Linked DNA regions of Rattus norvegicus. The protein of the gene in region 1 binds, or shares a complex with, the protein of each later gene. Links are inferred from orthologs where the notes say so. Each region holds a gene or a part of one and is shown on either strand. Other genes may lie near its edges.

Region 1 (15,850 bases):
CAGGCAAAACACCAATGCACATGAAAATAAATGTTTTTAGTGTATTTACACGTGTTTAGATTTGTCTAAAAAGTATTTATTTTATGTATGAATGCTCTATCTGTATGTGTACCTGCAAGCCAGAAGAGGGCAGCAGATCCCAGTATAGATGCTTATGAACCAACATATGGTTGCTGGCAATTGAACCTCTGGAAGAGCAGATGATGCGCTTAACCACTGAACCATCTCTCCAGCCCTATTCATTTTATCTTTAATGTGTATTGAGTATATGTATGTTTACCACTGGTGTGCCTGGTGCCCAAGTAGGTGAAAAGAGGTTGTCAAACCTCTCGGGAGAGGAGTTACAGACAGTTGTGAGCTGCCGTGTAGGTGATAGGAACTGAATTTAGGTCCTCTGGAAGAGAAGCAAATGCTCATAATTGCTGTCGTTATCATCACATAACTGGGTATGTGGTCAGCTTGATCCTGCTGGGTCAGCCTATTCTTCTGACTGGCAGGCATGGAACAAAGGGACAACAGCTATACTAGCCGGGCAGGCCTCAACATGTATGAGGGTGTCAGATCCCCCTAAACTGGAGTTACAGTTGTGAGCTGCCACATGCCCGCTGGGAATTGAACCCTGGTCTCCGGAGGAGCAGCCAAGGTTAATTGCTGAGTCATCTGTCCAGCCCCCCACATGCCTTTTTCAAAAGATTGGATCTCATGTAGCCTAGACTGGCTTTTAATTCACTGTATCATAAGGATGACCTTGAACTTCTGATCCTTCTGCCTCTATCTCCCAAGTGCTGGGATTGTGGACATTTGAGGTATTTCCTGTTTTATGTAGTACTGGGAACTGAATCCAGGGCTTTGTGCATGCTAGCCTCAACTGAGCTATGGTTCAATTGACAAGCTTTTTGTAACTTGAGGTTCAAACCATGACCATATTCTAAATAGATATGCCCGACCACTGAGGGGCACTCTTAGTCCTAACACTGTTTTTCACTAAGTGACACATACCTTTAATCCTAGCCCTGGAGTTGGGGTTATAGAGGCAGAAGGATCTCTGAGTTCCAGGCCAACCAGGGATACACAGTGGGACCCTGTCTCAAAAGCAAAATGTAAAAGCAGCTGTTCAAGGACTGTAAATTACTGTCATGGTCACCAAGGTCGTCTTCTTCTTCTCCTTCTTCTTCTTCTTCTTCTTCTTCTTCTTCTTCTTCTTCTTCTTCTTCTTCTGCTGCTGCTGCTGCTGCTGCTGCTGCTGCCGCTGCTATTAGATTTATTTATTTATTTAAGAAGGGAAAAGGGCATCAGATCCCATTACAGATGGTTGTGAGTCATCATGTAGTTGCTGGGATTTGAACTCAGGACCTCTGGAAGAGCATTCAGTGCTCTTAGCCACCGAGCCATCTTTTCAGCCCCATGGGTCCCAGTTAAAATGGAGATGTAGGGGCTGGAGAGATGGCTCAGCGGTTAAGAGCACCCGACTGGGGCTGGGATTTAGCTCAGTGGTAGAGCGCTTACCTAGGAAGCGCAAGGCCCTGGGTTCGGTCCCCAGCTCCGAAAAAAAGAACCAAAAAAAAAAAAAAAAAAAAAAAAAAAAAAGCACCCGACTGCTCTTCCAGAGGTCATGAGTTCAATTCCCAGCAACCACATGGTGGCTCACAACCATCTGTAATGAGATCCGATGCCCTCTTCTGGTATATCTGAAGACAGCTACAGTGAACTTATATATAATAAATAAATACATCTTTAAAAAAAAAAATGGAGATGTAGGATCTGGAGAGAAGGTTCAGTGTACCCATTCACAAGAAGGCTCACAATTCCTGTAATGTTAGTTACAAGTGAAGCAATCCCACTCCCACGGTCTTCTTGGGCACCAGACATGTATGTGCTACATATATACACATACAAGCAATCATACATAACCATAAAATAAGTCTTTAAAAACACAGATGGGGGCTGGAGAGATGGCTCAGTGGTTAAGAGCACTGACTGGTCTTCCAGAGGTCCTGAGTTCAATTCCCAGCAACCACATGGTGGCTCACAACCATCTGTAATGGGATCTGACGCCCTCTTCTGGTGTGTTTGAAGACAGTGTACTTATATATAATAAATTAATCTTTTTTTAAAAATTTATTTGTCTGCTTTATTTATATGAGTACACTGTAGCTGTCCTCAGACACACCAGAAGAGGGCATCAGATCCTATTACAGATGGTTGTGAGCCACCATGTGGTTGCTGGGAATTGAACTCAGGACCTCTGGAAGAGCAACCAGTGCTCTTCACCACTGAGCCCATAAATAAATCTTAAAAAAAAAAAAACAACCCATAGATGGAGGATGGGCATGGTGGCACACACCTCTAATCCCAGCACTCGAGGGGCAGAGGCAGACAGATCTCTGTGAGTTCCAAGACAGCCAGGGCTATGCAGAAAAACTCTATCAAAAAATTCACCCCACCCCCCAAAAATAAAATAAATCCAAAGATTTATTAAAAACATTTTTATGTTGGAAATTTGAAGTATAGCTAAGTGGTAGAGGGTTTGCCTAGCATGAGCAATGCCCTAGGTTTAACCCATAGCACTGCAAATAAATATTAATAAATTAATTAATTCTGTAATTAACTGATTCTATAATTAAACTAAGTGTGGCACTCCAGGACGGTAATCACAGTACTTAGGAGGCGGAGACAAGAGCATCAGGAGTTTAAGTTCAGCCTCTAGGATAGCCTAGGTACATGAGACCCTACCTTCAAAACAAAACAAAACAAAGAAATCTGGGCTGGAGAGATGGCTCAGTGGTTAAGAGAACTCTTCCAGAGGTTCTGAGTTCAGTTCCCAGCAACCACATGGTGGCTCACAACCATCTGTAATGGGATCTTTTTTTTTTTTTTTTTGGTTCTTTTTTTTTCCGGAGCTGGGGACCGAGCCCAGGGCCTTGTGCTTCCTAGGTAAGCGCTCTACCACTGAGCTAAATCCCCAGCCCCTCTGTAATGGGATCTTATGCCCTCTTCTGGTATGTCTGCAGACAGTGACAGTGTACTTCTATAGAATAAATAAATAAATCTTTAAAAAAAAGAAAACAAAGACATCTCTGTATCTTAGAGTATCTATTGCTGCAACAAAACGCCATGACCTAAAAGCAAGCTGGGGAGAAAAGGGTTTATTTGGGGATGGCACCACTCACTATAGGCTGGGTCGTCCTCTATTGATCACGAATGCTTTATAGCTGGATCTCATGAAGGCATTTCCTCAATTTCCTCAACTGTGGCTCTTTCTTCTCTGATGGCTTTAGCGTGGGTCAAGTTGACACACACACAAAAAAAAAAACAGGCAGTACATGTGGGTCTTATCCCTAAGACATTATATATACATGTGTGTATGTGTATATATGTATATGTGCACACACATTATATGTGTCTGTGTGTATATATACACATGTACACATGCATGTTCAAGTATGTATTTGAATGTGTAAATGTTACATATGTTTCTACACACATACACACACACATATTTATTTCTGTACACACACACACAAAAAAAACCTTCCACAAATGAAATCCAAAGCACTCTCAGGGTCTTCATTATAGGATGTAACCCTTAGCTGATTGTGGTGTTGGGGCACTCCTTTAACATCCTTTAACATCAGCGCTTGGGAGGCAGAGGCAAAGGGATCTCTGTGATTTTGTGTCCAGCCTGGTCTATAGAGCAAGTTCTAGGATAGCCAGGACTACACAGAGAGACCCTGTCTCAACAGAACAAAACAACACAAGAAAGGATGTAACCCTAATTATCTCTAAGAATCCCTAATTATAATCATACATCCCTAACTATTTCTAATACATTTGACTCAACCTGTAACCCTAGGACTCCTCCCCCTTTTAAAAACATTTAAGCGTATGCGTGTTCCTGAATGTACACATACATATGACATGAGTTGACAAGCCCGAGAGGGTCAGAAGGGGTGTCAAAGTAGAGATGGTTTGAGCTGCCATACGGGTGCTAGGAACTGGATCCTCTACAGGAACAGACTGGGCCTTCTCTCCAGATTCCCCCCTCCCCCTTTTTGAGATAGGGTTATCTCAGTGTACTTTTATGTAGCTTTGGCCAGTCTGGAACTCATTATGTAGACCCTGGCCTCAAACTCAGAGACACTATTGGCTTCTTCCTGCCGAGAGCTGGGAGTCTGTACGCCCTTTTTACAGAGACTGAGCAAATGAATCTGGCTTCACTGCCCAGTCTCAAGTTCAAAGTTCATTCCCCTCTCTATGCTGCCTCTTTTATACATTCAGTATTCAGATGTAAGATTAAACTACATGACTTAGGGCTGGTAAGATGGCTCAGAAGTTAAGGATTCGTGCCACCAAGCCTGATGACCTGAGTTCAATCTCCAGAACCCACATGGTTGAGGGAGAACAGACTTCTTCAAGTTGGGAGCTGTTCTCTGACCTCCACAGGTACCCGTACATGACCCTATGAATACATACACAATAAATAAATCACATGAGTCAAGTTTTATCAGGTACATTTTTTTTGTTGTGTTTTTGAGATAAGGCCTGTCTAGAAGGTCCTGGCTGACCTGATACTTGCTCTGTAAACCAGGCAGGCCTCTCAGTAACAGAGATGTACTTGTGTCTGCCTCCAGGGTGCTGGGCTTAAAGGCTGGGCTTCAAGCCGCCACACCTGGCTTTGTTTTGAGACCAGGCTTCTAAGAATTCACTGGCCTTGAACTTGGTAAGTAACCACATATGACCTTGAACCCCTGATTAACTTCTCTCTCGGTCTCTCGAGTGTTGGATCCCATATTCCTGACTTGCACCCAGCTTTCGGTAAAGACCGTGTGAATAAGCTAGGTATTGTGGTGTAAGAGGAGATCAACGCTTCGACCATTGATGTCTTCATCCTCCTTTCTCCTAGGTCCTTTACCCTACGAGGGGTATCCTGGAAATGTCTAATCACTACTGATCGGTCTACTGTGGTACTGATTCCTAGAACCCTGGGCCTTGTGCACACTAGGCATCTGCTTTAACCCCTGAGCTATATCTACAGCCCTCTCACTTTTTATTTTTGTTTGTTTATTTTAAAAGGCCTCTTTCTTTTTTTTTTTATGAGTTATTTTCCTGCATGGCTATGTGACCCTATGTGTCTGGTGCCGGAAGGGGTCAGAAGAAGACATAATGATCCCTAGAGGATGTGAGCCACCCTGTGGGTGCTGGGAACCAAACCTGGATCCTCGGCAAATTTTTATTTTGAAATGGTTTAAATGGCCCATGTTAGCCTTGAACTCCCTCTGTGGTTCACTCTTTGAACCTGAGATCTTCTTGCTTCAGGCTTCCCAATACCTGGGATTATAGCCTTGGGTTAACAGGCCCACCTTGTAACAAGTATTGTTCGTTTTAAAAATTGATTTGATATACTTATATGTGTAGGTGTTTTGTCTCTACATATGCCTGGGTACCATGTGTGTGTCTGGTACCCTAATGGACCAGATCCCTGGAACTGGAGTTTCAGAGACCTGTGAGCCACCATGTGGGAAGAGCAGTCTTGGCTGTTTACCATTGAACTATCTTTTCAACCCTCCCCCCCCCTTTAGAACGTTGTTTGGTTTTTTTTTTTTTTTTTTGTTTTTTTGTTTTTTTGTTTTTTTTTGAGACGAGATCTCACTAGACAACCCAGGCTGGCTTTGAACTCCAAGCATTTTTTTTCTGGTCCAGGAGTTAGGCCAACTGCTTAGTAGGCAGACAGATAGGGAACGGGGCCATGGCTAGGAAATAGAGGTGGTGAGTTTCTAAGATGGTCACTTCTTCCTCAAACCCCTGACTTGAGAGAAAAGCTCAGCATCTTTAGTGTCTGCATTAAATATCACCATTCCCACGTTGAATTTTTCTTGTGGGGGAGATGTCGTTTTCTTTCCTCTTATTCCCTTCCCTTCCTCCTTCTCCTCCTTTTACTTTCTTTTCTTCTTCTCTTTTATTATCTTTGCTACCAGAATCTTAGCCCTTGAGAGTTCCACGTTGGGGCTGGAGAGATGGCTCAGTGGTTAAGGGCACTGACTGCTCTTCCAGACGTCCCGAGTTCAGTTCCCAGAAACCCCATGGTGGCTCACAACCATCTGTAATGGGAATCCGATGCCCTCTTCTGGTGTGTCTGAAGACAGCGACAGTGTACTCATATACATGAAATAAATAAATCTTTAAAAAAAAAAAAAGCGTTTTAAAGACCCGGTGTGGTGGCACACATCTTGAACCCCAGCATTCCCAAGGCAGAGGCAGGTGGATCCCTCTCAGAGGCCAGCCTGGTCTACACAGCAAGTTCCAGGACAGCTGGACCACGTAATAAGAACCAACTTCAAAAAAGGAAAAACAAAAGTCCGTCGAAGGTTACTACACCTTTTCCTCTCTAGTAACACAGAGCAAGTCATGTGGGTTTCTTAGTATTTTAATTCCCTTGAAATTTAAAACCCTGACTGAGCTCAGGGGATAAAGGAAAGAAAGACGAAGTCACACTGCAGGGTGACTGTAGTTGACAGCAGCTGAAGAACCAGCCGGTGCCCCAGTCCTTCCGCTCCAGAGCGGTAACCGCCCCTCCAGGAACACGTGACAGACAGCGCGGTGGGTAAACTACAACTCCCAGAGGGCCAAGCGGCCGGCCTGCGTAACGCTTTCTCGCTGATTGGCCACTAGAGATATTTGAAAGGAGGTGCTGGCGCGGAAAACGAAGCGTACCCACCGGTGTTTGGTGGAACTCCGGCTGGAGGGTAGTCCTAGACCGGTGAAACACGGCCTGGAGGGTCTGGTGAGCGCGCGCTCAAGCTGCGGTAAGTGACGTTCCCATTGCTGACCTGGGGAGAAACGGGGCGACTCCGCGGAGGCTCGGCGACCCCCGAAAGGGTGTGGTCGGTGCCCAGGACCCTGTGGAGCCCCCTGGGGTGGCCTGGTGGGACACGGGGGACAAGGGGCCAGTTTATAACGGGAGTCCAGCGTCCAGGCATGTTCTCCCCTCCCCCATAGGATTTCTGGTGGGATTCTTTGCCTGCTTTTTCCTTTGAATCCTCTTACAACTTTCAATCCCTTCTTTCCTCCCGTTGTTTCCATTATGACCCTTCGCAGGCTTCTACAAACCATTTCGTTGTGTCTAGACTTTTGCCATGAGGAACTTCAAAGGAGTCAAGTTCGCCACTCTACTTTGCTGCAAGAGAGAGACCCAGGAGTTGCTGCCTGACTTGAAGGTGGGGCCCTTTCTGGCTCAGGACACACCTAGTTTCTGAGATTATCTGGTTTTTTTTTTTTTTTTTCTTTTCCTTTTTATTTATTGTTTTTATTTTAAAAATTACTTTTCCATACTACAGGATCTCATGCATTCAAGAAAGCACTTCACGGGGCTATAACTCTATATACGTTTTCACTTTTAAAAATAACATATATCTTTATATATTGTATATAGTACAATATATAAGCTATATATATCAAGTTTTTTTGAGACAGGGTCTCATCTCTTGCCCTGGCTGTAAGTCACTATATAGACCAGGTTTACCTTAAACTCAGATCTACCTGCTTCTGCCTCCCAAGTGCTGAAATTAAAGGCATGTATCAGCATGCCTGGCCTGTTTTCACTTTTTCTTTCTGTAGTTGTCTCCAGACATACCAGAAGAGGGCATCGGATCCCATTACAGATGGTTGTGAGCCACCATGTGGTTGCTGGGATTTGAACTCAGGACGTCTGGAAGAGCAGTCAGTGCTCTTAGCCGCTGAGCCATCTCCAGCCTCCTGTTTTCACTTTTTCATTTGGAGACAGTGCTCTCACTAAGTGGCCCCAGCTGGCCTTGAACTCACTCAAGCCTGGGAGGCTCTTTGAACTTTATCATTTTCTTGCCTCCGCACGGGCCTGCGCCGCCACCAAGCCTGGCTTGTGTTTTGCCTTAATTTGGAGAGAGATACATGTGAGAGGCCCTATTTCTACTTTTATTTCCCTACCTCTCTTTTCCGCTTACCCGGCTTAATTCTTTCTCATAGGAGTTCCTGTCTAGATCTCGAACTGATTCAGTCAGCAGCAGAACCGATGCTGAGAGAAGACAGGTCTGTGACACCATCCTGAGGGCTTGCACCCAGCAGCTGACTGCCAAGCTTGACGGCCCTGGTCACCTGAGAAGTATCCTGGACCTGGCAGAGCTGGCCTGTGACGGCTACTTGTTGTCTACCCCACAGCGCCCTCCCCTCTATCTGGAACGCATTCTTTTTATCTTACTTCGGAATGGTTTGACTCAGGGAAACCCAGACGCTGTGCTCCGCCTTGCCCAGCCTCTCCATGCCTGCTTGGTACAGAACTCTCGAGAGGCTGCCCCTCAGGACTATGAGGCTGTGACCCGGGGTACTTTTTCTCTGCTTTGGAAGGGAGCAGAAGCCCTGTCAGAGCGGCGAGCTGCATTCTCAGCTAGGCTGAAGGCCTTGAGTTTCTTAGTGCTTTTGGAGGATGGCAGCCTCCCTTGTGAGGTCCCTCACTTTGCTTCTCCAACAGCCTGTCGGGTAGTTGCCGCCTATCAGCTGTTTGATGCTACTGGACAAGGTCTAGATGCAGCTGACGCTGACTTCGTCTATGACTTGCTTTCTAGGCATGTGATCAGAGTCTTAGTAGGCGAGGGTGGTAGGGCTTCTGGTCCGCTCTCTCCTCAGAGGGCCCTCTGCCTCTTGGAACTCACCTTGGAACATTGTCGTCGACTCTGCTGGAACCAGCACCACCACAAGGCTACCATAGCAGTGGAGAAGACTCGAGATCACCTAGGAAATAGCAATGTAGCTCCCAGCCTCCAACTGTGCCAGATGGGGGTTGAGCTGCTGGAAGCTGTGGAAGAAAGACCAGGGGCAGTGGCCCAGCTCCTGATGAAGGCAGCTGCTATTCTGAACAGCAGTATGGATGGGCCATCACCCCCGCTCCGGGCATTGTATGACAGCTGCCAGTTCTTCCTTTCAGGCCTGGAGAGAACCATCAAGAGGCACTATGGAGTTGATGCCATATTGAATCTCTTTGCTTTTCTTGGGGGATACCACTCCCTTGTCCGGCACCTGCGAGAAGTGAGTTAAGGACCTAGAGTATAGGGGTGGGGAGTGGCTCTGTAAATAACTGGAAGTTACCCTTGATAAGCTGCCCTCTGAGCTGTGCCCGGCTTCAAGGACTCTAGACAGTACTTGGCACAAAGCTCGCCGTCTCTGGGTTTCAGACCAGCTGCCCCTTCCTTTCTCCCTTCAGGCCTCCGAAGCGTCCTCTAAGCAGCAGCAGAGCCTGCTCCAGATGCACTTCCATACCCTCCACCTCTTCACTGGGATTGTGTATGACTTTGCCCAAGGCTGTCAGGTACCATCTGGGAGTCAGGAAACATGGATAGTCGAGGTTGCTTCTCAGAAGAGCTTTGGGTAATTGGGTAGTGGCAGCTCTCTCCTTTAATCCCAGCACTCGGGAGGCAGAGAGAGCCAGGCAGATCTCAGTCTTCGAGGCCAGCCTGGTCTACAGAGCGAGTTCCAGGATAACCAGGGCTACACCCCATCTGGAAAAAAAAAATGTTTGGTTTCGGGTGTCAGTTCAGGTGGAAGTCCCAGTGGCCCTTGCATGACTTCTGACCCTCGACCTTCTGTTCCTTCAGGTAGCTGAGCTTGCTCAGCTAGTGGACAGTTGCAGATCTGCTGTTGTCTGGATGTTGGAGGCCTTAGAGGGCCTGTCTGGTGGAGAGCTGGCTGACTACCTGGGCGTGACTGGTTAGTGCCTTGGGGTTCCGCTGCACTGCTCTAGGGGACGGCTATCACTTGTCAGGCTGGCTAGTATACATTTCTGACCACTCGCTGTGCTGAGTGCCAAAGGTTTAAGGAGGCAGGGAGAGACATATCTGTAAGGCTAATACAGGAGAGATGGTGAGGCTTAGGACAGAGGATTTTTTTCTCATTATGTTTGGCAGTTTGATTTGGTAATTGTTTATAAAAAAAAAATGTGTGCCTAGTATGCAATGTTACAGAAGTATGCACCTTAACTTTTGTTAGTTTTCTTTTTTAGCCAGAGTCACACTGTGTCGTAAAAATTGGGCTCAAACACATAGCAGTACCCCTGCCTTAGCTTCCCAAGTCTGGGGTCACAAGTCATAGTTTACCTTTTTTTTTAATTTAATTTGGGATTAAAGACATACGCCACCGCACCCGACTACATCTATTTTGAGAAACTGCATTAGGTCAAGGAGTTTATTTAGCCTTAGAACTGCTTCCTCCCCTCCAGCTCCATAAATAACACTAAAATTTATTCACTCAATAAAACTGCCAAGCCATGTCAGATCCATTCCTGCCACTGGAACCTCATCCTAGTTTGGGGGAAATGTAACTGGATAAATGAAATACTAACATTAAAAGGTGAAAGGCTGGAGAGGTAGCTCAACAGTTAAGAGTACTTGTTCTTACAGAGGCCCTGGGTTCAATTCCCAGAATCCATATGGCAGCTCACAACTATGTGTAAACCCAGTTCCAGTCCAGGGAATCTCCTCACTCTTCTGACCCTTGTGGGTACCTGCACACACATGTACACATACGTGAGGGCAGAACGTTCATACACATAAACACTGAATCGAAATCTTAAAGTAAATGATAATACCTGGGCCTGGGGACTCACCTCTGCTCCTAGCTCCAGGGAGCCTGAAGGAAGAGCACCAAGTGCTCAGTGTGAGACCCCATTTCAGAACTCAAAAGTGGGGACAAGGGAGATGTCTCAGCCAGTGAAGGCATTTGCTGCCAAGGCTGGTGACCTGAGTCTGGTCCTTGGAATCCACATGATAGAAAGTGAACCAATTCCTTGAGGTTGTCCTCTGCCCTTCACATGTGCACTGTGGCATATGAACACACAAACAAAACAAATACAATTTTGAAAGAAGTAATGAAAAATGAAAGGTAAGGAGTAGATTAGAAAGGGAGGCCCCAGGAGCTGGAGAGATGGGTCAGTGGTTAAGAGCAGTGGCCGTTCTATGTGAGGACCTGTGATTGATTCCTAGTACCCGTGTGGTGTTAGAACCACCTGAGCTCCAGTCCTAGGGAATTCAGTGTCCTGACCTCTGTAGGCACCATACACATAAAGTAAGGTAGAATAGTAAGTAAGCCAGCCTGGCATCATGGTACATGCTTTTAATCCCAGCACTTGAGAAGCTGAGACAGGTGGGTCTCTCAGTTCAAGGCCAGTCTGGTCTACAGAGTTCCAAGATAAACCTTGTTTTGAAAAACAGCCAGGTGTGGTAGCACACACCTTTAATCCCAGCACTCAGAAAGCAGAGGCAGGGGGATCTCCTGAGTTTGAGGCCATTCTGGTCTACAGAATGAGTTCCAGGACAGCCAAGGCTACATAGAGAAACCTTGTCTTGGAAAAAAAGAAAAAAGAATAAGTAAGCTTTTTTTTTTTTTTTTTTAAGATTTATTTTACTTTACTTACATAAGTACTCTGTAGCTATCCTCAGACACCAGAAGAGGGCATCAGGTCCCACTACAGATGGTTGTGAGCCACCATGTGGTTGCTAGGAATTGAACTCAGGACCTCTAGAAGAGCAGTCAGTGCTCTTAGCCACAGAGCCATCTCTCCACCCCACATAAGTAAACTTTTTTTTTTTCGGAGCTGGGGACCGAACCCACGGACTTGCGCTTGCTAGGCAAGCGCTCTACCACTGAGCTAAATCCCCAATCCCAGTAAACTTTAAAAAAAAAAAAATTTTAGTTTTATTTTCAGTGCATTGGTGTTTTGCCTGCATGCATGTCTGTGTAAGGGCATGAGATCTTGGACTTACAAACAGGTGTGTAAGTCCTCACTCACACCCAGGTTCTCTGGAGGAGCAGCCAGTGCTTGTAACCACTGGGCCATCTCTGCAGCCCAAGTAAACCTTCTTTTTTTTTAAAAAAAAAAAGCAGAGTCCAGGAAGGGCAAGGAGTCTGAGTACCATTGAATTACACTTGGAAGCCTTTAGCATGACGATGCCAGGGGAGAGAACATCCATGCAGGCATGGCTCTAACAACCAGTGGCATGAGGGGAGGAGGAGGCAAGGGAGGTCAGTGCAGCTCAGCCTCGTGCAAGTGTGGAGGGGCTGCTGGTGTGAGTTTCCTCACAGGGATCCTGAGCAGCAGCTGGGGTGGAGCCAAAGATTGCCCTCCTGTATGTTCCTTGATGGTTTGGATTCCATTGTGTCCTTATCTGGAAGCTAACAAGATGACCCCAGGTTGAGCACCTCTGACATCGGTTGTCCTTTCTCTCCCTATAGCCTCTTACACCAGCAACTTGGCCTACAGCTTCTTTAGTCAGAAGCTCTATGAGGAGGCTTGTGCCATCTCAGAGCCAGTCTGTCAGCACTTGGGCTTGGCTAAGTCAGGCGCTTGTCCCGAAGTGCCTCCTGAGAAGGTAGGAGGGAATGAGGTGTGGAAAGGGAGGTTATGTCGGGCGAGTTGTGAAAGGGCCAGCCTGCAGCTCTGCGGGACAGTGGGACTGGCTGGCAGCGTGCCCAGGGCAGTGATTCCCTAACAACCTTGCCTGAACTGTTGCTTTTTCCTTCCTTCTTTCCTTTTTTGGTACAGGGTCTTACTGGCCTGGAATTTGTTATGTAGACCAGGCTGGCCTCCTCAACCTGACAATTTATCCTTAAAATGGCTTCTTTTCCTTTTTACTTTTTGGTGTTCTCGTAAGCCAGTTCTAATCCTAGCCTCACATTAGAGTCATCTGAGTGAACCTCAGGGACATTCTAGTGTAATGCTTGCCTCAAGTTAATTACGTTGGATCCTCACCCTAGATCGCAGGCATCTACATGTTCTAAAAAGTCTCCCACACACCCAGGGCGGCCAGAGTAAAAAGCAGTGGGTTAAGAACGGCTGAAATTGACGGGTTGCTGCATTGGCAAGTGACTTGGGGTGTGTGGGCATGAGGAGCTGAGGGGTGTGGATGGAGCCATGACGTCAGGTGGGCGTCTGAATGGCTTTGCTGTTACTGGCAAACAGTTGCAGGGCAGAAGCCTGGGCAGGAACGGCTGTGACAAAAAGCAATGGATGGTACAGGGCCCTCATCTTGAGTTAGTTAGGTGGGAAGGAAAGAGTCACAGAAGGTGGAATGGGTCCTTCAGGTTGTGGATGTAGACCGTAGAGGGGCTCCTGAAGCAGAGAGTACCAGAAGCTTGGTTCTCGAGGATTACAGAGGCAGGAGGACCACCTGCTATCTCTCTTCCACGTGCTGCGCCGCGCTGCGCTGCGCTGCGCTGCGCTGTGCTGTGCTGGCTGTCTGCCCGCTGCGCTGCGCTGAGCTGCGCTGCGCGCACTCAGTGGCTCCACGTTCCAACCCTCCTGTCTCTGGTCAGCTACATAGGTGCTTCCGGCTGCATGTGGAGAGTTTGAAGAAATGGGGTAAACAGGCCCAGGGCTGCAAGATGGTGACCTTATGGCTGGCAGCTCTGAAACCCTACGGTCTCCAACACATGGTTGAGCCAGTCACTTTCTGGGTTCGGGTCAAAATGGATGCAGCCAAGGCAGGAGACAAGGAGCTACAACTGCAGTGAGTTGGAGGGGGGAGGAGGACCATCCTTTCTGCCCATGGATTGGGGCACGTCCCTCAACCTGACTCCGTCTATGTAGGCCTGGCCTTGAGATCCTTCTGCCTCTGCCTTCCTAGTGCTGGAATTAAAGGCCTGTGCCGCTGGGTCCGGCCGCCTCAGTCCTTAGTGCTGTGCCTGGCCTCCTCAGTCCTTCTGAAAGTGATTTTTTTCATCAGTTATGCATTGAGTATAACTGGTTATAGGGCAGATAGTGGTCAGAAGCAATGTTTGGTTTTTGTTCTACTTGGAGAAATAGAACTAAGTATATTGCATGTATTTTTCATGAAGACAGAACATCCATGACCTGTTAAATAAAAGGGGTAAACTTTAGGGGGGTAATTTAGGCAAGTGGTCTGTATGTAAGGCCTGAAGATATGCAGAAATCCATCATCAAATGCCTTAAAGAACTAATCACAAAATACCGGTGCTGGGGTGGAAACAAACTTGGAAGTGGGAACTGGTTAGAGAAAGCCAGCATTGAGGAAGGGGAGAGAGGTTGGGGTGTAGCCTGCCAGTAGAAGGGTTAGAAGCCAGGCCACACAGGGTTTTATTTTATAGGCCATGGCACAGGTTTGGAGGTGACCCCTCATGGAGCCCCCTATATTAGAGGAGCCATATGACCTGATTACACAATTAGATGCACAGCAAGTACTGAGCTAAGGCAGAGGCTCCCCGGTAAGGTACAGACTCTTCGAGGTCTTCACCCTGGTGCTGATCTGCCTTTCAGGACTTTGCGAGACAGCCTAAGTTGCTGGGACCCAGAGATGCAGTCTCTGCTACTGAGGGAGGAGCTGCAGGCCTATAAGGCAGTACGGGCTGACACTGGGCAGGAACGCTTCAACGTCATCTGCGATCTGCTTGAGCTCAGCCCTGAGGACACAGCAGCTGGAGCCTGGGCACGAGCTACCCACCTGGTGGAATTGGCCCAAGTGCTGTGCTACCATAGCTTTGCCCAGCAGACAAACTGGTGAGGAGATAACAGGAGACTGACTGCCCGTCCTGATGTTTCTGATAATGGGGATCAGTTTCCTAGTCTATCGCTGAGTGCTCCCCTTGTGTTAAGCGCAGCTCACTATGGTTTGCCTCGTGCTCTAGCAGAGGGCATGGTTTTGCCAGCTGCAGACAGTTTCTGCAATTGTGTGACCTTTGGAGTTTTGGGAACTTTTCAGAGGCTGTTTAAATGCTAGGGCACAGAGAAGTGGGGTTGGTGGTGTTGGCCGTTCAGGGTGGTTTGTTATTAGTAGTGGTGCTCAAAGAAGAAGCAAAAATGAGAGATCAGATTCAGAAATATCTGTCTCTTTCTCTCCTTCCTTTCCTCCTCCCCTTCCTCCCCTACCTTCTCACATAGTAGCAGAGACCAGCTACACCCCCACTTACATTCATCTTTCTACAGCTCTGCCTTGGATGCTATCCAGGAGGCCCTGCAGCTTCTGGAGTCCGTGAGTCCCGAGGCACAGGAGCAGGACCGCCTTCTAGATGACAAAGCACAGGCCCTGCTATGGCTCTACATCTGCACCTTGGAGGCCAAAATGCAGGAAGTATGTGGAACTGAGCCCGACCCAGCTGCTCCCACCAAGCTGGTACCAGTCCTGGGTTTTGTTTCAATCTCTCTTCTTTCCCAACCAGGGTATCGAGCGGGATCGGAGGGCCCAGGCCCCTAGTAACTTGGAGGAATTTGAAGTCAATGACCTGAACTATGAAGATAAACTGCAGGAAGATCGCTTTCTATACAGTAACATTGCCTTCAATCTGGCTGCTGATGCAGGTGAGGGCTCAGCAGTGTTGGGCAGGCATCTGGGAGGCTTCCCAACGCGCCCCAGGCTGGCCTTATGCTGGGGATGTGGGGCAGCGAGGGAGAAGGCCGGCTCAAAGGCACAGCATGGTGTGGGGAAAGCCAAGCTCTTTCAGGATGGCCAGGTGGAGAAAGTGTCACCTTCTGGTTTACAGCGCAGTCCAGATGCCTGGACCAGGCCCTGACTCTGTGGAAGGAAGTGCTCACCAAGGAGCCAGCCCCAGCTGTGCGGTGTCTCCAGCAGACGGCAGCCTCCCTGCAAATCCTGGTGGCCATCTATCAGTTGGTGGCAAAGGTAATGGGATGGCTGGAGTCGGCCAGGGTTAAACTGGAACCCGAGCACCTGCACCTTTGACCTGTGCTTGTGAGAAGCCATGTGGCCTAAGAGTGTGGGCTCTGCTGGCTGTGGTGCTGTACATAGCTCTAGCCCTTGGGAGCTAAGGCAGGGGATTGTGACTTACAGGCCAGCTTGCAGTATGTGGTGACATTCTT
Region 2 (14,804 bases), on another chromosome or scaffold:
CTTTATAAGTGTTCCCCTCAACCCCTTTTTCAGTTGAAATTTGATTAGACAATCACAAGCTTGCTTTCTCTTGGTTGTAGACTGACGGCTACAAAACCATTCCTCAGTTGTTTTTTCTCCTTTTAAATTTAGATTTGATTCCTTTATTCTCTGGGTGAACAGTATTTTAGTGGACGTTAGGAAAATAGTTTTGCCACTTTCTTGCTTTGAGTTTCTAAATATCTCTCCCCACTTCCCCGCACCCTGGTTAGGGCCTTTCTTATGTTAGGCAGACACGGCTACCCAGCTACATACTCAGCCCTCAAAAGACTACTTAAGAACATCATGCCCAAAAAGTATCTCTGGAAAAAAGTGTGTTTTGACATAAGTCAGATCATAATTCCTTTCTTAGAGTTAAAGATCATGTCCCCTCCCCTCTCCTATCTTTGCTCTCTCAGGCTGGCCTTGAAGTTGCTATGTGGCACAGAATGACCTGGTCCTCCTGTCTACCACATCACTGGATTTACACTCTTCTAGGTAAGCTATCTCTCTCTCTCTCTCTCTCTCTCTCTCTCTCTCTATATATATATATATATATATATATATATATATATATATATACACACACACATATATATATGAAACTTTTCAAAATAAGTGTAAGTTCCTTAAATTTTATCAGTACCAAAATGTTTGCCTTCATCACTTCACAAAACCAAGATTTATATCCACCACTTCTCTTTGAATATTTCCTTTCTTTTCTTTTGCAGATATTCCCTATGTGGTCTTGTATAGCTTCATGAACTCAATATGGAAACCGGGCTGACCTCAACAAACTCACAGACCTTCTTTTGCCTCAGTCTCCCAAGTGCTGAGATTAAAGGTGTGTGTCACCACGCCCAGCTTCTTCATTTTGAAGGACCTCTTTGGATAGGATTATGGGAAGATCCCGAAGCTAAACGGGATCTGTTGGTATTGAATAAACAACGGCGTCCGTTTGTGTCTAGACTGAGGAAGAGTCACAGAGAAGGAGATGCAGGATTTGACTAGGGCTGTGAAATTTTGCTATCTTATTCCTAATAGAAAGCTTTCTTGATCTACCGCTCACCACTTACACATCAGCATCTCTTGTGGCTCCATAGAGCTGAGGACTTCACAAACTGTCACGACCATTTTAGAAAGATTCTGCCCAGCAGGAGGGGGATGGGCGAAAATCCTAGCTCAAGTATCCCACTGTCAATCGTGGAACTTTAGAATGTTTTCAGGAGACTAAGGAACTTTTAAGCTAATTAAACGTAATCACACACATAGCAGAAAGGGTTATTAACAATGCCGATTTCAACGGGAAGGCCTGGCTTCTCAAATGTCCATTCTTTGTTTCCAAACCTGTCGAGTTTCCCAGTTTCTAAAAATAAGAAATTAACTACTACTTAAGAGGCAAAGGCAGGTAGATGTGTTAAGTTCTAGGTCAGTCTGGTCTGCATAGTGATTTCCAGGACAGTCAGGGTCCTCTTCGAGAGCAAGTGCTCTTTCCAGTCTCAGGTTTTGATGGGGGCCGACCCAAACCATCTCAGTAGATTGGTGCCTCTGACTTTGACTTGAAGATTTAAGGTCTGGATTAAGCCTCTGGGCTTCTTTAATTAAGTGTTTGTGTTTATGTTGGTCTCTACTACTACTCTTTTTTTTTTTTCCGGGAGGGGGCGGTGGTTGAAAACTTCCGTTGCTCTCATTGGTTCTCAGACACTAGGCCCCGCCTCCCATCGGATGGACCAATTGAAGCGCGAGTTGGAATTCAAACTGCGGTGCGCCGGGTCGTTGGTGGCGTAGTCTTGGGTGAGTTTTAGCTGCGAGTGTGTCGTTGCCAAAGATGTCTTGGGCGAACTCGGGGTGGCGGGGCAGGAAGACCCGGGACTGGAGGCTGGAGCAGGGTCGGGACTTGTGCTTCACTGGGCCCGGCGTCCCGGGGCGCTCTTGGCGTGCTTGACCCAAAGCGACGCTGTTTTCATTTTCTTTCTTCCCTTCCCACACACTTCAGGGTCTCAAGCAACCCAGACTGGTCTTGAATTGTTATGTAGCTGAGGCCAACCTTGAGCATCTGATCCTCTTGGCTTCTCCTTCCTATCGCTGAGCTGGTAGGCTGGAGACAGTTGTTTGGGTGCCAACATCAACAAACGATTTCTGTAGTTTAGCGTTTATGACCCTGGCGTGAAGATTTAAGGTCTGGATTAAGCCTGTTGACTTCTCCAGCTACTTCTAAATTTTTGTGCATAGGTGCTCTGGTCTCTGTTGCTGCTTAGTTCTTCCAGTCTTCCTCAATGCCAGTTTTATAATATGCAGGTCTCTCCCCTCAGTAATCCAGGATGGCTACTCTGATCTTTGTTGATAAGGATAACGAAGAGCCAGGCAGCCGTTTGGCATCTAAGGATGGATTGAAGCTGGGCTCTGGTGGTAAGTATCAGCTGCCTTGAGATACACAGGTGTCGTGAATGGATTATGGCCCCTAGTATTTAGTGTACTTTTGTGGTTGACCGGAGTCAGGTTTGATATATTTTCACGCTTATTATCTTTCTTTTTAGAATACAGTGTCATGTAGCTCAGACTTGGTCTCTAGTTCCCTATGTAACCCTAGGATGGTCTTGGACTTCTGATCCTTTTGACTCCCCCCCAGCCCAGGGCACTGATTAGAGGCAGGGGCCACTGTGCCCAGCTTATGCGCTGTAGGGGATGGAACTTGGAGCTTCTCAAATGTTAGGCAATCACTCTCCCTAATGGTCACATCCCCAGGCACTATGCTTAAATCATTTTTTGAGATGGGGCTCCCCTACATAGCTTTAATTGACCTGGAATTTGCTATACAGATCAGGCTGGCCTTGAACTCAGAGATCCACTTATCCCGGCCTCCAAAGTGATGGGATTAAATGTGTGTTGCTACGGTGCCTGGCTTCATGCTTATTGCCTTAATGAGTTTATTGAAGGGTTCTAAGTCACTGCCCAAAATGAAGCACAGGTTTGTGGGTGAGAATTAAGTTGATGAGGTGTTTACATGGCCTGACCTTGAAGAACAATGTATTTATTACCTTTATTTGTGTATGGGGGGGGGGGAGTGCACACATGCCATGGTGTGTCTGTGGAGATCAGAGGGCAACCTGTGGGAGTCCATTCTCCTTATGCTATGTGGGTTTTGGGGGTTGAATTCAGGTTGTCCGGTATGGCCGAAAGCCCTCTACCCACTGAGTATGTTATACTTTTATGATTGTCCTTTTTTTTTCAACAGTCAAAGCCTTAGATGGGAAATTGCAGGTTTCAACGCCACGAGTCGGCAAAGTGTTCGGTGCCCCAGGCTTGCCTAAAGCCAGCAGGAAGGCTCTGGGAACTGTCAACAGAGTTACTGAAAAGCCAGTGAAGAGTAGTAAACCCCTGCAATCGAAACAGCCGACTCTGAGTGTGAAAAAGGTGAGCGAGGGCTGCGAATACTTGCACATGTGTTGGCGCTTTATAAAAAAAAAAGTTTATTGTTTTTATTCATGTATATGTATCTGCGTACAAGCAGACTACATGTGTGCAAGGCACCCAAGGAGGCCGGAAGAGGGCGCTGGGTTCTTAGGAAAAGGAGTTGCAGCAGGTGTGAGCTGCCTTACGTGGGTGCTGGGAACTGAGTCTGGCTCCTTCGGAAGAGCAGAGTGGCAAGTGCTAACCACCGAGCCATCCCTAAGCCCCGCTGTAGCACTCGAGTGCTTAAAAGCGGACTTCCCCCTGCCTTTCTTCCTCTGAGTCCGAGGTAAATAGAGGTCCAGAAATGCAGAAGCGTCAGGCTGTGCTACTTCTCAGCACCCTGAGATTGCAGCTCTCGGGGACAGTAGCTAATGCTGATTCTTCTGCTTCAGCTGTTCTTAGCTAGTGCCAGGAAGCAGTTGGCTGGGAGGCCTGAAGCAAACGTGTGAAGTATTTAACTGGGTGTGATAGGCACCTGCAATCCCAGCACTTGGGAGGCTGAAGCTGGAGGAGAGGCTGGTTGGAGGCTAGCCTGAACTACACACCCTCCTCCCTACTTTGGTATACACATAGAGTGGATAAGATCGGATGTTTCTGCTGCTTCTTAATTCCATCTGCTTAAGGAACACGAACTTGTTGATATTAACAAAGTAATTAAGGTAACAGTGGCAGAAAAATCACACTTTTATAAGGTAAAAGTGACTTCCAGGATTAGCGACTATTCTGGGGGTGCCTCAAGCCTGTTTTGCTCACTGTTAGGTTTGAACAGTTGAGTTGATTAACTTTGAATTAACCCTGCTCATTATTCTTAGTGATATCTGTTGACAGGTGCTAAGATGTCGTGACTTTAATAGGAGTACTTTTTTTTTTTTTTTTTTTTTTTTTTTTTTTGGTTCTTTTTTTTCCGGAGCTGGGGACCGAACCCAGGGCCTTGCGCTTCCTAGGTAAGCGCTCTACCACTGAGCTAAATCCCCAGCCCCAATAGGAGTACTTTTAATTTATGCGTTTGGATATTTGTCTGTATGCTATTGTATTGGTTAGGGTTTTACTGCTGTGAACAGTAAATGTAACAACATTTAATTGGGGCTGGCTTACAGGTTCAGAGCTTCAGTTCATTATCAATGCAGGAAGCATGGTAGTAAGTGTACAGATAGGTATGGTGCAGGAGGAGCTGAGAGTTCTACATCTTTGTCGAAGGTGGCTAGGAGAAGACTGGCTTCCAGGCAGCTAGGACAAGGGTATTAAAAGCCCACGTCCATTGTAACACACGTATTCCAATGATGAGGCCACACCTCCTAATAGCATCCTTCCCTGAGCCAAGCATATACAAAGCATCACAGTATGTACGTGTACCATCCCTGAGGAGGACATGAGACATTGTTTCCTTTAGACTGGAGTTAAAGATAGTTGTGAGCCACCCTGTGGGTGCTGGGAATTGAACCTTGGTCTTCTGTAAGAACAGCAAGTGCTTTGAACCACAGAGCCATCTTTCCAGTGTGTGTGTGTGTGTGTGTGTGTGTGTGTGTGTGTGTGTGTGCGCGTGTGTGTGCGCGTGCGTGTGCGCGTGCGTGTGCGTGTGCGCGCGCGTGCGCGTAGGGCAGGGCTGGCACATGTGATGGCATGTGTGTCAGAGTCTGAGGACAACTTCCAGGAGTCAGTTCTCTCCTTACATTTACACTGAATCCTGAAAACTAAGTACTGTGACTTCTTAGAAGACAGCACTGAATTGACAAATTCTAAATAGTGACGTCAGCATTTGAAGAGGCTGCCCAATCTCATGCTACCATGCAGGTGGGCAAGACTTCCGTTCTCACAGTGCTTATTCTCTTTGGTTTTTCTAGATCACCGAGAAGTCTACTAAGACACAAGGCTCTGCTCCTGCTCCTGATGATGCCTACCCAGAAATAGAAAAGTTCTTCCCCTTCGATCCTCTAGGTAACAATGCCTTTGGTATGATGGGCAGGCCCTCTGCTGGAGATTTCTCTCAGACTGATTTCTCCATGCGACTATAATGTGCAGCTCTAGAATCCCAGACTGTCTGAACCTGGGTTACTTTGAAAACATAGACTGTTCAGGTGGACTCACTTGTATCACCTTCAGAATGGGAGCAAAGATACCAAGGAAACATCAAGTTCAAGGTGATCATTGTGTGAGTTCAAGGCCAATCTGATCTACAGAGCAAGTTCCAGGACAGCCAGGGCTATGTAGAAGGGACCCTGTGGGGGGAAAAAGTGTAGTGGGCTTGGGGGTGCACACCTTTAGTCCCAGGCAGAGGCAGGCAGAGCTCTCGAGTTCAAGGCTAACCAGGGCTATGTAGAGAGACCCTGTCTTAAACAAACAAACCAAAAAAGAAAAGGCCAAGTATAAATAATGTAAGATAAAAATTCAAATTAATGTCATGCTAACTATTACAGGTGAGTGTTCCACGATTCTAAACTTTTTCCCGTTTCTGAATTCCTCATTGGTGACAACATTTTCCTTGAAGTGCGGTAGACTTCCCTCATTCCTTGAGGAGAGAGTATGGAAGGAATACATTCTCTTGACTGTAGTTTGCCTTTCAGATGAAAACTGTCTCCCAGGAGAACAACCCTGGCTTGGCTTGCAGCTCAGAGCACTGTAAATCCCTTTTTCTGTGGCATCAGCATGCTCACCGTAGTTTTGTAACAGAATCTTTGACAGGGAATGGGGACCTGCTCTGCAGTTCAGCATGGTTTTGAACTCACGGCGATCTGCCTACAGTCACTCTCCCACACCACCATAATACTTGCATCCCAGAACCTATTAAAGAATGTTCAAGAGCTGGGCCGTTAAAATTATACTTTTTCCTGAGTCTGGCAAAAGTAATAGTTAAATTAGGGTGGTAACTTTATTATCTAACTGGCTATTGTTAAGTTGGATCTTAACAATATTCTAAATGACGAATAGTGGCGAAGAATAGTTTGACTTGGTGGACCTCACTGGGGCCAAGGGAGCACTCCCCTGATGCTTGCCTCCCCTCTGTGACAGATTTTGAGAGTTTTGACCTGCCTGAAGAGCACCAGATCTCACTTCTCCCCTTGAATGGAGTGCCTCTCATGATCCTGAATGAAGAGAGGGGGCTTGAGAAGCTGCTGCACCTGGACCCCCCTTCCCCTCTGCAGAAGCCCTTCCTACCGTGGGAATCTGGTGAGTGAGGCCATGCCCTCTCGATGGGCTGTAAGCAACTTGTTAAATGGCATGTGTTGTTGTAGGGACAGTTGTATGGGTGAGCCAGTGTGCAGCTTTGGGGATACAGGGACAACATCTAGAACAGTAACTTTCCTTGGTCGTTGTGGTTGGGTCCAAAAAGGTGTTCTGGAATCTTGGTAAGCCTTTGGTGATAGCAGAGGGTGGAGTTTACCACACAGCTTCTTAGGCTATGAGTTGAAGCCTATAGTAAAGTAACTGAGACTGGACGAACACTCCAGTTTCTGTCCTCGGCTGTCAGAGGACCAGTGTAGACCGACAGTTAGCTTGTAACCTCTGAAAGCTTAAGGCTTTAGTGGGAACCGGTGGTCAGAAGTGCCTCCCTCCTGTTCTGATGAGGTGGGTTGCCAGTCTGATTTTATGATTTGGTGAGACTTTATGCTCAGGAGAGCAAGAAGCTTCGAGTACTTCAAAGACCTGCCTCTTGAGGAGGGTCAGTTCCCAGGCCACATACCCACCCCCTACCCCTCCACCCCTACCACCCCCCCCACCCCCCGTCGTTTGGGAAACCTGCATGTGCGAGTGAGATTCGTTACATGAATGTAGGATGAAATTAGCAGCTAATGTTTGTTATGGATAATGGCTATAACGGAAGTGCAGAGTCCAATGAGGAATCCCTCTTCCTCCAGATCCGTTGCCGTCTCCTCCCAGCGCCCTCTCCGCTCTGGATGTTGAATTGCCGCCTGTTTGTTACGATGCAGATATTTAAACGTCTTACTCCTTTATAGTTTATGTAAGTTGTATTAATAAAGCATTTGTGTGTATGCTCTGACTACCTAACCCAAAGCAAAGCCTGCTTGGTGTTTCTTGGTGTTGGGAGACGCTCTGTTTTCCTTTGGAAGTATATCCGTCAACATGTACTCTGTTGCTTTTTCGTGGCTGTTAACCAGTGACAGTTATCAGGTGTCTTAGAAGAGTCCCTTCCAACTCATTAAGTGGCATTCTTTATCACCAGCTCGGTTTAGTCATTAGTATTCACTTACCGTATACTAATGACTTTACTATTTGGTAGCCAGAATTTGAAAGGCTCTAAACCTTCTGAGAACCCAGTCTCCTTGGGCTCACTAGTCAGATACTTTGACGATCACTGTAGGTAATTTACTTACGGTAGGGCTCACTCCCCACCTATAGGAATTGGTTGTGTGTCCAATCGTGGACATAAGTATTTGATAAGCATTAGTGTTGTTGATGTCTAAGCCTATATTCTTAAACGATGAGGAGCTGGGACCTATGCTTTTGAGTGAGCGATACTTTGCAACTACCACAGCATGGCCCGTGTCTCTGAAGTATGATGTGTTTTGCAAAAGATGTGGGGCTCCAGCCCCGAGGAGGGGAGGGCCTTACATCTCAGTTTACCTCTTGAGGGTATGGTATAGGATACATGCGGAAATGAAGAGTGATCAGAAGCCTGGAGGAAGGGGCTTCAGCGGGGGAAGAATGAGGTCCTCTGGTCTGCTTTTGTATCTGCCACTGGAAAGACAGTGCTCCGGGACGCCACTTTCCAGTCGTGTACCTGGAAGACTTTTCCTTTCCCGGGCATTCTCCCTTAAAAATGAATTTTAATTACTGTCCCATGGAGCTCTGGATGGTGTGAAGTCTGAAGCTTTTCCTTGATGGGGGTGATGTCTAAATCAGAGCCACGCCTGCCTCAGCCCTGCCCTCTGCTCTAACTGGGTTCAAGGTCCTTGGGAAATGGCACATTCTCCTTTCTGTGCTCGCTGCTCTCACTGAGTCTGGGTATAGCATTAACTAAGTCACGCAGTCACTATTATGCTGTCCTAATTTTATCCAGCAATAATAAAGCCACTTTTGAATTCAGCCCCACTCAGGTTTTGGAATCTGGTTGGAATGGAGCTGGATTCATTACCAAACGTAACACGAGTGGTCTTCAGTTCCCGCAAAGAGCTCTTGTTCTCTGTAACCCAGGGGGCAGTCCTTCCTGTCCGTCTTTCTAGCAGCGATCCAGTCTTCTGAACTCCTCCCAGGACGGTCCACTCAGCCTGCTTCTCCAAACTCTTAACTCCCTCACACGGATGTGTTCCCCAAGGTCTACAAGGCCACACTGTCATGTTTATTACAGCAGCGGGTCCATGCTTTGGTCCCACTTTTTAGTATTATGTAATCCATCACAGTCGGGAAGGCAAGGCTGGAGCGCCTCCTCGCTGTGGCATCAGGTTAAATCTCTGTGAGGAAGCAGGGAAAAAAATGGGCTCGGTGCTTAGCTTGCTTGCTTTTTTTCTCCCTTCTTGGTCAATCCAGGACCCCAGCCAAAGGGATGGAGCCATCTACATTCCAGAGTTGGTGGGTCTCTCTAAATCCTGTCTGAAACCCTCAGCTACTCTCAGGTGATCCTCACTGATGTCTTAGACATTCCTTAACCTAATCAAGCTGACAATCAAGAATACCCACCACAGGGGGGCCATCTTGAATCTGCCCTTCCAAGCATAGCCTTTCAATGCTCTTAGCACCTCAGAGAACCAGGGTAGATGAAGGTGTCCCTTTATCAGGATCTCCAGGCTCTAAGGCTTGGACTACTTTAGCAGGTGTCCTACGCTGATAAATACCTGGACGTGGAAGCAGGAAGCTAGTCTTCAAGTTTCAGGTAAATGCCCACTGGAGCCTATTCAATCCTCTCAGGGTGCTTGTTACTCACAGGGCTCGCATCACAGCCCAACGCTAACTTAAATCTGTGTGTGTGTGTGTGTATAGGGGTGTGTATAGGTCTGAGGATAACTTGTGGGAGTCTCTGCTTTCGTCCTGTGGGTCGCCGAGATAAAACTTAAATTGTCAAGTTTGGCAGCAAAGCCCTGTATAACATGTTGAGCCGTCTTGCCAGCCCCAGTGCTGATTTTGAATTCAATACTCAGTAGCTTTGGAGAGCTCAGCCACATGTGTTTGAGACAGGAACAACCAGACGCAAGACCTGTTCCTCTGTCCAGCTAGGGTAAACTCTAACCAAGGGTCTTGTCTTTGTTAGTCTCCAAGTCCCATCAGCTTGTGGAATTGGATTCCCACAGGGAGAGTGCTTTGTCCTGTGTTACCACGTTGTCCTGTAAGAGGAACTTTGGATTGATGGTCCACTTCTCACACCACACAGTGGAACCGGCCGCAGGCTCTCCAGTATGCAGAGCCATGGAGGGGTTTCCATGGTGATCGCCTGTACCATCGCTCACCTCACAGTTGCTGCTGCATGCAGAAGTGGGAGCTGCCTGCCCTTGGCATGCCGCTCAGAGATCCGGTTGCAGCTGGCTTCTGTCTTCCTGTACAGTTGCACCTCACGACCAGAGGCATAGTGGGGCCGGAACCAGAAGTGATGGCAAGGGCACCTGGCTTGGGAAACACCTTCATTTTCCTGGGAAGATGAAATTGAGCCTCCTCCATATTTCCAGGTTGAAAACTTGGAGCGTGGCTAGAGTAGTGGTTCTGAACCTGTGGGTTTCAACCCCTTTGAAGGTCAAACAAGCCTTCCGTAGGGGTCACATATGAAATACATTATGATTCTTTTTTTCTTTTTCTTTTTTTTTCGGAGCTGGGGACCGAACCCAGGGCCTTGCGCTTGCTAGGCAAGCGCTCTACCACTGAGCTAAATCCCCAACCCCTTACATTATGATTCCTAACAGTAGCTACATTAGTTATGAAGGAGGTAGTTTTATGATTGGGGTCACCCCCAACATGAGCAACTGCAATAAAGGGTCACAGAATTGAAAAGGTTGAGAACTGGGGCTGGAGAGATGGCTCAGTGGTTAAGAGCACTGACTGCTCTTCCAGAGGTCCTGAGTTCAAATCCCAGCAACCACATGGTGGCTCACAACTATCTGTAATGAGAGCTGAGGCCTTCTTCTGGTGTGTCTGAAGACAGCTACAGTGCACTCATATATAATAAATAAATAAATCTTTAAAAAAAAAAAAAAAGGTCGAGAGCCACTGAGCTAGGGCAACATAGCAGCAGCTGTGTTCCAGCCCCATCTTGTAACTGAGGCAGAGGGAAATGGGTGTCAGATGCTAATAGGACAGTTGGATAGAGAAATGACAGGTCATAGGGTTTTACTGCTTCAAACAGGCACCATAGCCAAGACAACTCTCACAAGGACAACATTTAATTGGGGCTGGCTTACAGGGTTCAGAGGTTCAGTCCATTATCAAGGTAGGGGCACGGCCGCATCCAGGCAGGCATGGTGCAGGAGGAGCTGAGAGTTCTACATCTTCATCTGAAGGCTGCTAGTGGAAGAATTCTGACTTCCAGGCAGCAGGATGAGGGTCTTATCAGCCCACAACCACAGTGACACACCTACTCTAACAGGGCCACACCTTCTAATAGTGGCACTCCCTGGGCCGAGCATATACAAACTTTCACATGACAGTAGAAAGCGAGGGAACTGGAAACCAAGAAAGCAGATATAAATAAGGAGAGATGGCCCATCAGTTAGGGATGAGAACGGCATCAGGCAGTTCACATTACCCCCATTACTCCAGTTCCAGGGGCATCCCACATCCTCTTCCGGCCTCTGTGAGCACCTGCACGCATGCGCACCAAACTTCCTTCTGAAGTCACATTATTAAAAGTAAATTCTAACCAAGCAGACATAAGATCACATAACCTGGCGCTGTTGAACTTTCTGGTTTGTGTCTCTGAAGGTTAACAATGACCCCGATGGATGCGTATAGTGTTCACTCTGGCTCTTGTAGGGCACTATGCCAGGCTGGGTAGCTGAAACCTTGGAGATATATCCTCACAATTCTGGAGTTAGAGATTCAAGACCCAGATGTGTGTAAGGTTGGTTCCTTTCGAGGCCTCTTTGACTTGCAGTTAGGATCTGTACCAGAACGGACCAATGTCTTTGTGGGAGGAAGAAAATAACGTTACTGCAAAACGACCTGAAGTTTCAAGGCACATGGAAGGAGTGTGGGCTGGTACCCCAGTGAGGGGATGAGAAGACGGCGGAACAGAGATTCTCTCCACTGATGCTCGGGGAGACGTGAGGTTTAGTGAGTAAAGAGGCTGTTGAGTCCAGAGGACATCCTGGTACTCTGGGTATGAGGTATGTCCTGAACGAAACGGCTCACCTTAGTCTGATTCCTATTGCTGCCGTAAAGACTTGGACCAAAAGCAACCTGGGGAGGGCAGAGTTCTTGGTTACACATCCTGGTAACATCGCATCACTGAGGGAAGTCAGGGCAGGAACTCAAGGGCTGGAACCTGGAGGCAGGAGCTGCAGCAGAGGCCACGGGAGAGTTGCTCAATGGTTCACTCAGCCCGCTTTCTTACCTTTTTGGCATTAGCCTAGCTTCTCCCAGCTGGGCCATTGTCTCAGCCCCAGCCTGTTTTCTTGCACAACTGAGGACCATCTGCCTAGGGGTTGTACCAGCTGCAGCGAGGGCTCTCCCTCATCAACCATTCATCAAGCCAATTTGATGGAGGCGGTTTTTCCCAATTGAAATTTCCTCTTCCCTGTTGACTGGGTTTTGTGTTAAGTTAACAAAATACTAAGTAGCACACTGCTGGTAAGGAGGCACGCGCGCACGCACATTTTGCACACATGCACGCACACACGCTACACATTTTGAGACAAAGTCTCCTTATGTGTCCGGGACTAGTCTTGAACTCAAGATCTTCCTGCCTCAGCATCCTGATGCTAGGATTTCAGGTGTGCATCACCACATCCAGCTACATATTTTAATTAACATGCAGAGATGGCGTCCCTTCTGATACCAAGCTTCTTAGACTCCATGGGATTGTGTGGATATTTTCCACGAGTTCTCTTCCTAGAGACAGAATAGGAGCCAACAGGTTATTATTCTTGGTCATAACGAGCAAGAGTCGTTTAGGACTGAGCCAGAGGCCATCTTCATTGCTTGATGGATTCTCTTCAGGGTTATCATCTCGCTGGTGGCTGGTGGCTGTGTGCAGAACACACGGGGAAGAGATCTGCCTCAGAATGCCAGCATTGTCAGGAAAAGCAGACAAGAAAATGACAGGCACAACGAATTCCCTGGGATGCAAGGCTACTGGAGGAGCAGAGGCCTTTGCCCATCTACCCTTTAGAGTAGTTATTCTCAATGGCTGTCTAGAGAACCCCAGGGGTACTCCAGACCTTTGTAGGATTTCATGAGATCGAGTCTATTCTGTTGATAGCACTTACATACCTAGTTATCTCTCTCTCATTCTTCCACAGGAGCACGGTGGTATTTTCCAGACGGGGACTTTTAAGTGTGAGATCACAGCCGACTGCATGCAGAAACAAATCTAAGAATCCAGCTGTTAAGGAGACCTGAAAGCATGGTCAGCAACACCGGCCTTCTCACTCGCTTGTTTCCTTTGAGAAGAGGATTGTCTTTCATAGACTATTTTGTGTTGACACTAACAGGCTTATTATAGCCATGTTTAAATTAATTAGCAACTGTTTAAAAGAATTCCTCAGGTTTATTTTTTTTAATCACTATACACATCGACGGAATCCTTACAAATAAAATCTTTTGTGGTCTTTAGTAATCTTTCGTGCATAATATTTTTGTGTGTGTGTATGTTCATCTTTGTTGAGGGTGCGTTTGTATTCACGTGTGTGTGTGTGTGTGTGTGTGTGTGTGTTGGGGGACATGGCAGAGGACAACTTTAGGCCTTTGGAGCCAGGCACTTTTGTTTGTTGAGCCAGGGTTTCTCTGTGTAGCCCTAGCTGTCCTGAAACTCCATCTGTAGACCAGGATGGCCTCAAATTCAGAGATCTGCCTGCTTCTGCCTCCTAAGTGCCGAGATTAGAGTGTGCACCGTTACTACTGGGTAGAGACAGACTATTTCACTAGCCTGGGCCTCAGCACATCACTATAGTGGCCAACTGACAACCTGGGAACTTGTTGTCTGCTTCTACAATGCGGGGATGAAAAGAACACACTATCATGCCTGGCTTTACAGATAATTACGTTTATCTTGTGTGTGTGTGTGTGTGTGTGTGTGTGTGTGTGTGTGTGTGTGCAAGTGTGTGCACATGCTTGTGTTCATGGGTATGGAGTGGTATATATGCCATTATTTCACACAGGGAGAGCAGAGAACAAACCTGCAGGACATTGGTTGTCTCCTTCTACTTCATGGAACCCAAATAGCAGATCACCAGGCTTGGTGATAAGTACCTTTACCCCCGGAGCCATCTTGCCAGCCAGCCCTTCCCTGTCTCCCTCCCCTCCCTCCTTTATTTCTTCCTCCCTCCTTTCTTTGTTTCTTTCTTTCTCTCTTTCTCCCTCCTTCCCTTCCTTTTTCTCCTTCCTTCCTTCCTTTCCTTCTTTGTTTCTTGCTGTGAGCCTAGCTTTTAATGGCTGAGCCATCTCTTCAGCCCTTTATTTCTTTTGAAATAGGGATTGAACCCAGGTCTTTGTGCTTACAAGCAAGCACCATACTGATGGAGCCATCCCACAGCCCTTACTGTGGGATTGTAAAGAGTGTAACAGACTCTGGAGACCAACCCACTTGAGAATTGTAACTGCACGGGATATGGGTCTATCGACTCTGGGGCTTATGTGTTTGGGTTCAAACCCCTCCATTGTCATCTTAAGTGAGTTACTTTCTTTGAGACTTAATTTCCTTATCTACAGACTATGTTACTTTCCTTATTCAGTTATATTTTTAATCATAAAAAGGTGGGATGTCAGCTCTGTGGGTAACTGCTCAGTGCTGCAAAGGCTGTACAATGGCGAGCGTCACAGCTCCCACTCTAAAGGGTCCTGTCACTCAGCAGAGCCGAGATGTCCAGACTGTTGGTCTGACTGGGATTTATGGTCTGATTTTGAATTAGTCACTTCCTTTGGGAAAAAGCCAGACTATATGCCTTTATTAAGGTACACTGAAGAGACGACAAATTTCCACTTGTCCATTTCAGACATACCGTCCATTAAATCAGATGGTTTTTTCCTTTTTCTTAAAAAACAAGCACCAAGTCCTCCTCTGCTCCTTCCCAGAGTCTGTCTTCCTGTGGTAGTGTAATCATGCCACTAGAGGGCGCCACCTTCGTTTCTTGCTCATTTGCTTTCTTTTCTGCAGTCTTAGCGGAGATGGAGACCCTAAATCTGAAGGACGTGTTTAAGCTTGATGGCTGCTTTAAATTTTGCTTGAGAATTCGTCT

What was found.
Region 2: the proteins of Espl1 (region 1) and Pttg1 are in contact, whole or in part, in a cryo-EM structure (PDB 7NJ1), measured with the Homo sapiens proteins. The link is inferred for Rattus norvegicus from reciprocal best matches to the Homo sapiens genes ESPL1 and PTTG1. Residues at the interface, in NP_036423.4 of Homo sapiens: His402, Thr405, Val406, Tyr409, Ser461, Asn462, Tyr465, Tyr468, Arg505, Arg508, Glu512, Glu544, Thr547, Phe548, Arg551, Gln590, Lys593, Ala594, Val595, Arg596, Thr599, Gly600, Arg603, Gln634, Cys637, Tyr638, Trp683, Ile686, Glu690, Ile697; in NP_001269311.1 of Homo sapiens: Tyr111, Pro112, Glu113, Ile114, Glu115, Lys116, Phe117, Phe118, Pro119, Phe120, Asn121, Pro122, Leu123, Phe125, Glu126, Ser127, Phe128, Asp129, Leu130, Pro131, Glu132, Glu133, His134, Gln135, Ile136, Ala137, His138, Leu139, Pro140, Leu141.

The regions. Positions count from the first base shown.
Region 1 is NC_086025.1:135,295,959-135,311,808, forward strand, and holds the start of Espl1 (separin), read left to right. Parts: upstream 1-6,757; 5' UTR 6,758-6,803; intron 6,804-6,821; exon of another isoform or gene 6,822-6,973; intron 6,974-7,095; exon of another isoform or gene 7,096-7,124; 5' UTR 7,125-7,133; coding exon 7,134-7,214; intron 7,215-7,998; coding exon 7,999-9,054; intron 9,055-9,229; coding exon 9,230-9,334; intron 9,335-9,620; coding exon 9,621-9,732; intron 9,733-12,252; coding exon 12,253-12,389; intron 12,390-13,332; coding exon 13,333-13,526; intron 13,527-14,293; coding exon 14,294-14,533; intron 14,534-14,959; coding exon 14,960-15,104; intron 15,105-15,192; coding exon 15,193-15,331; intron 15,332-15,513; coding exon 15,514-15,653; intron 15,654-15,850. UniProt on the Homo sapiens protein: Caspase-like protease, which plays a central role in the chromosome segregation by cleaving the SCC1/RAD21 subunit of the cohesin complex at the onset of anaphase. During most of the cell cycle, it is inactivated by different mechanisms.
Region 2 is NC_086028.1:28,393,322-28,408,125, reverse strand, and holds Pttg1 (securin), read left to right. Parts: upstream 1-1,799; 5' UTR 1,800-1,812; exon of another isoform or gene 1,813-2,197; intron 2,198-2,249; exon of another isoform or gene 2,250-2,316; 5' UTR 2,317-2,339; coding exon 2,340-2,427; intron 2,428-3,253; coding exon 3,254-3,432; intron 3,433-5,312; coding exon 5,313-5,406; intron 5,407-6,477; coding exon 6,478-6,636; intron 6,637-7,325; coding exon 7,326-7,405; 3' UTR 7,406-7,482; downstream 7,483-14,804. UniProt on the Homo sapiens protein: Regulatory protein, which plays a central role in chromosome stability, in the p53/TP53 pathway, and DNA repair. Probably acts by blocking the action of key proteins.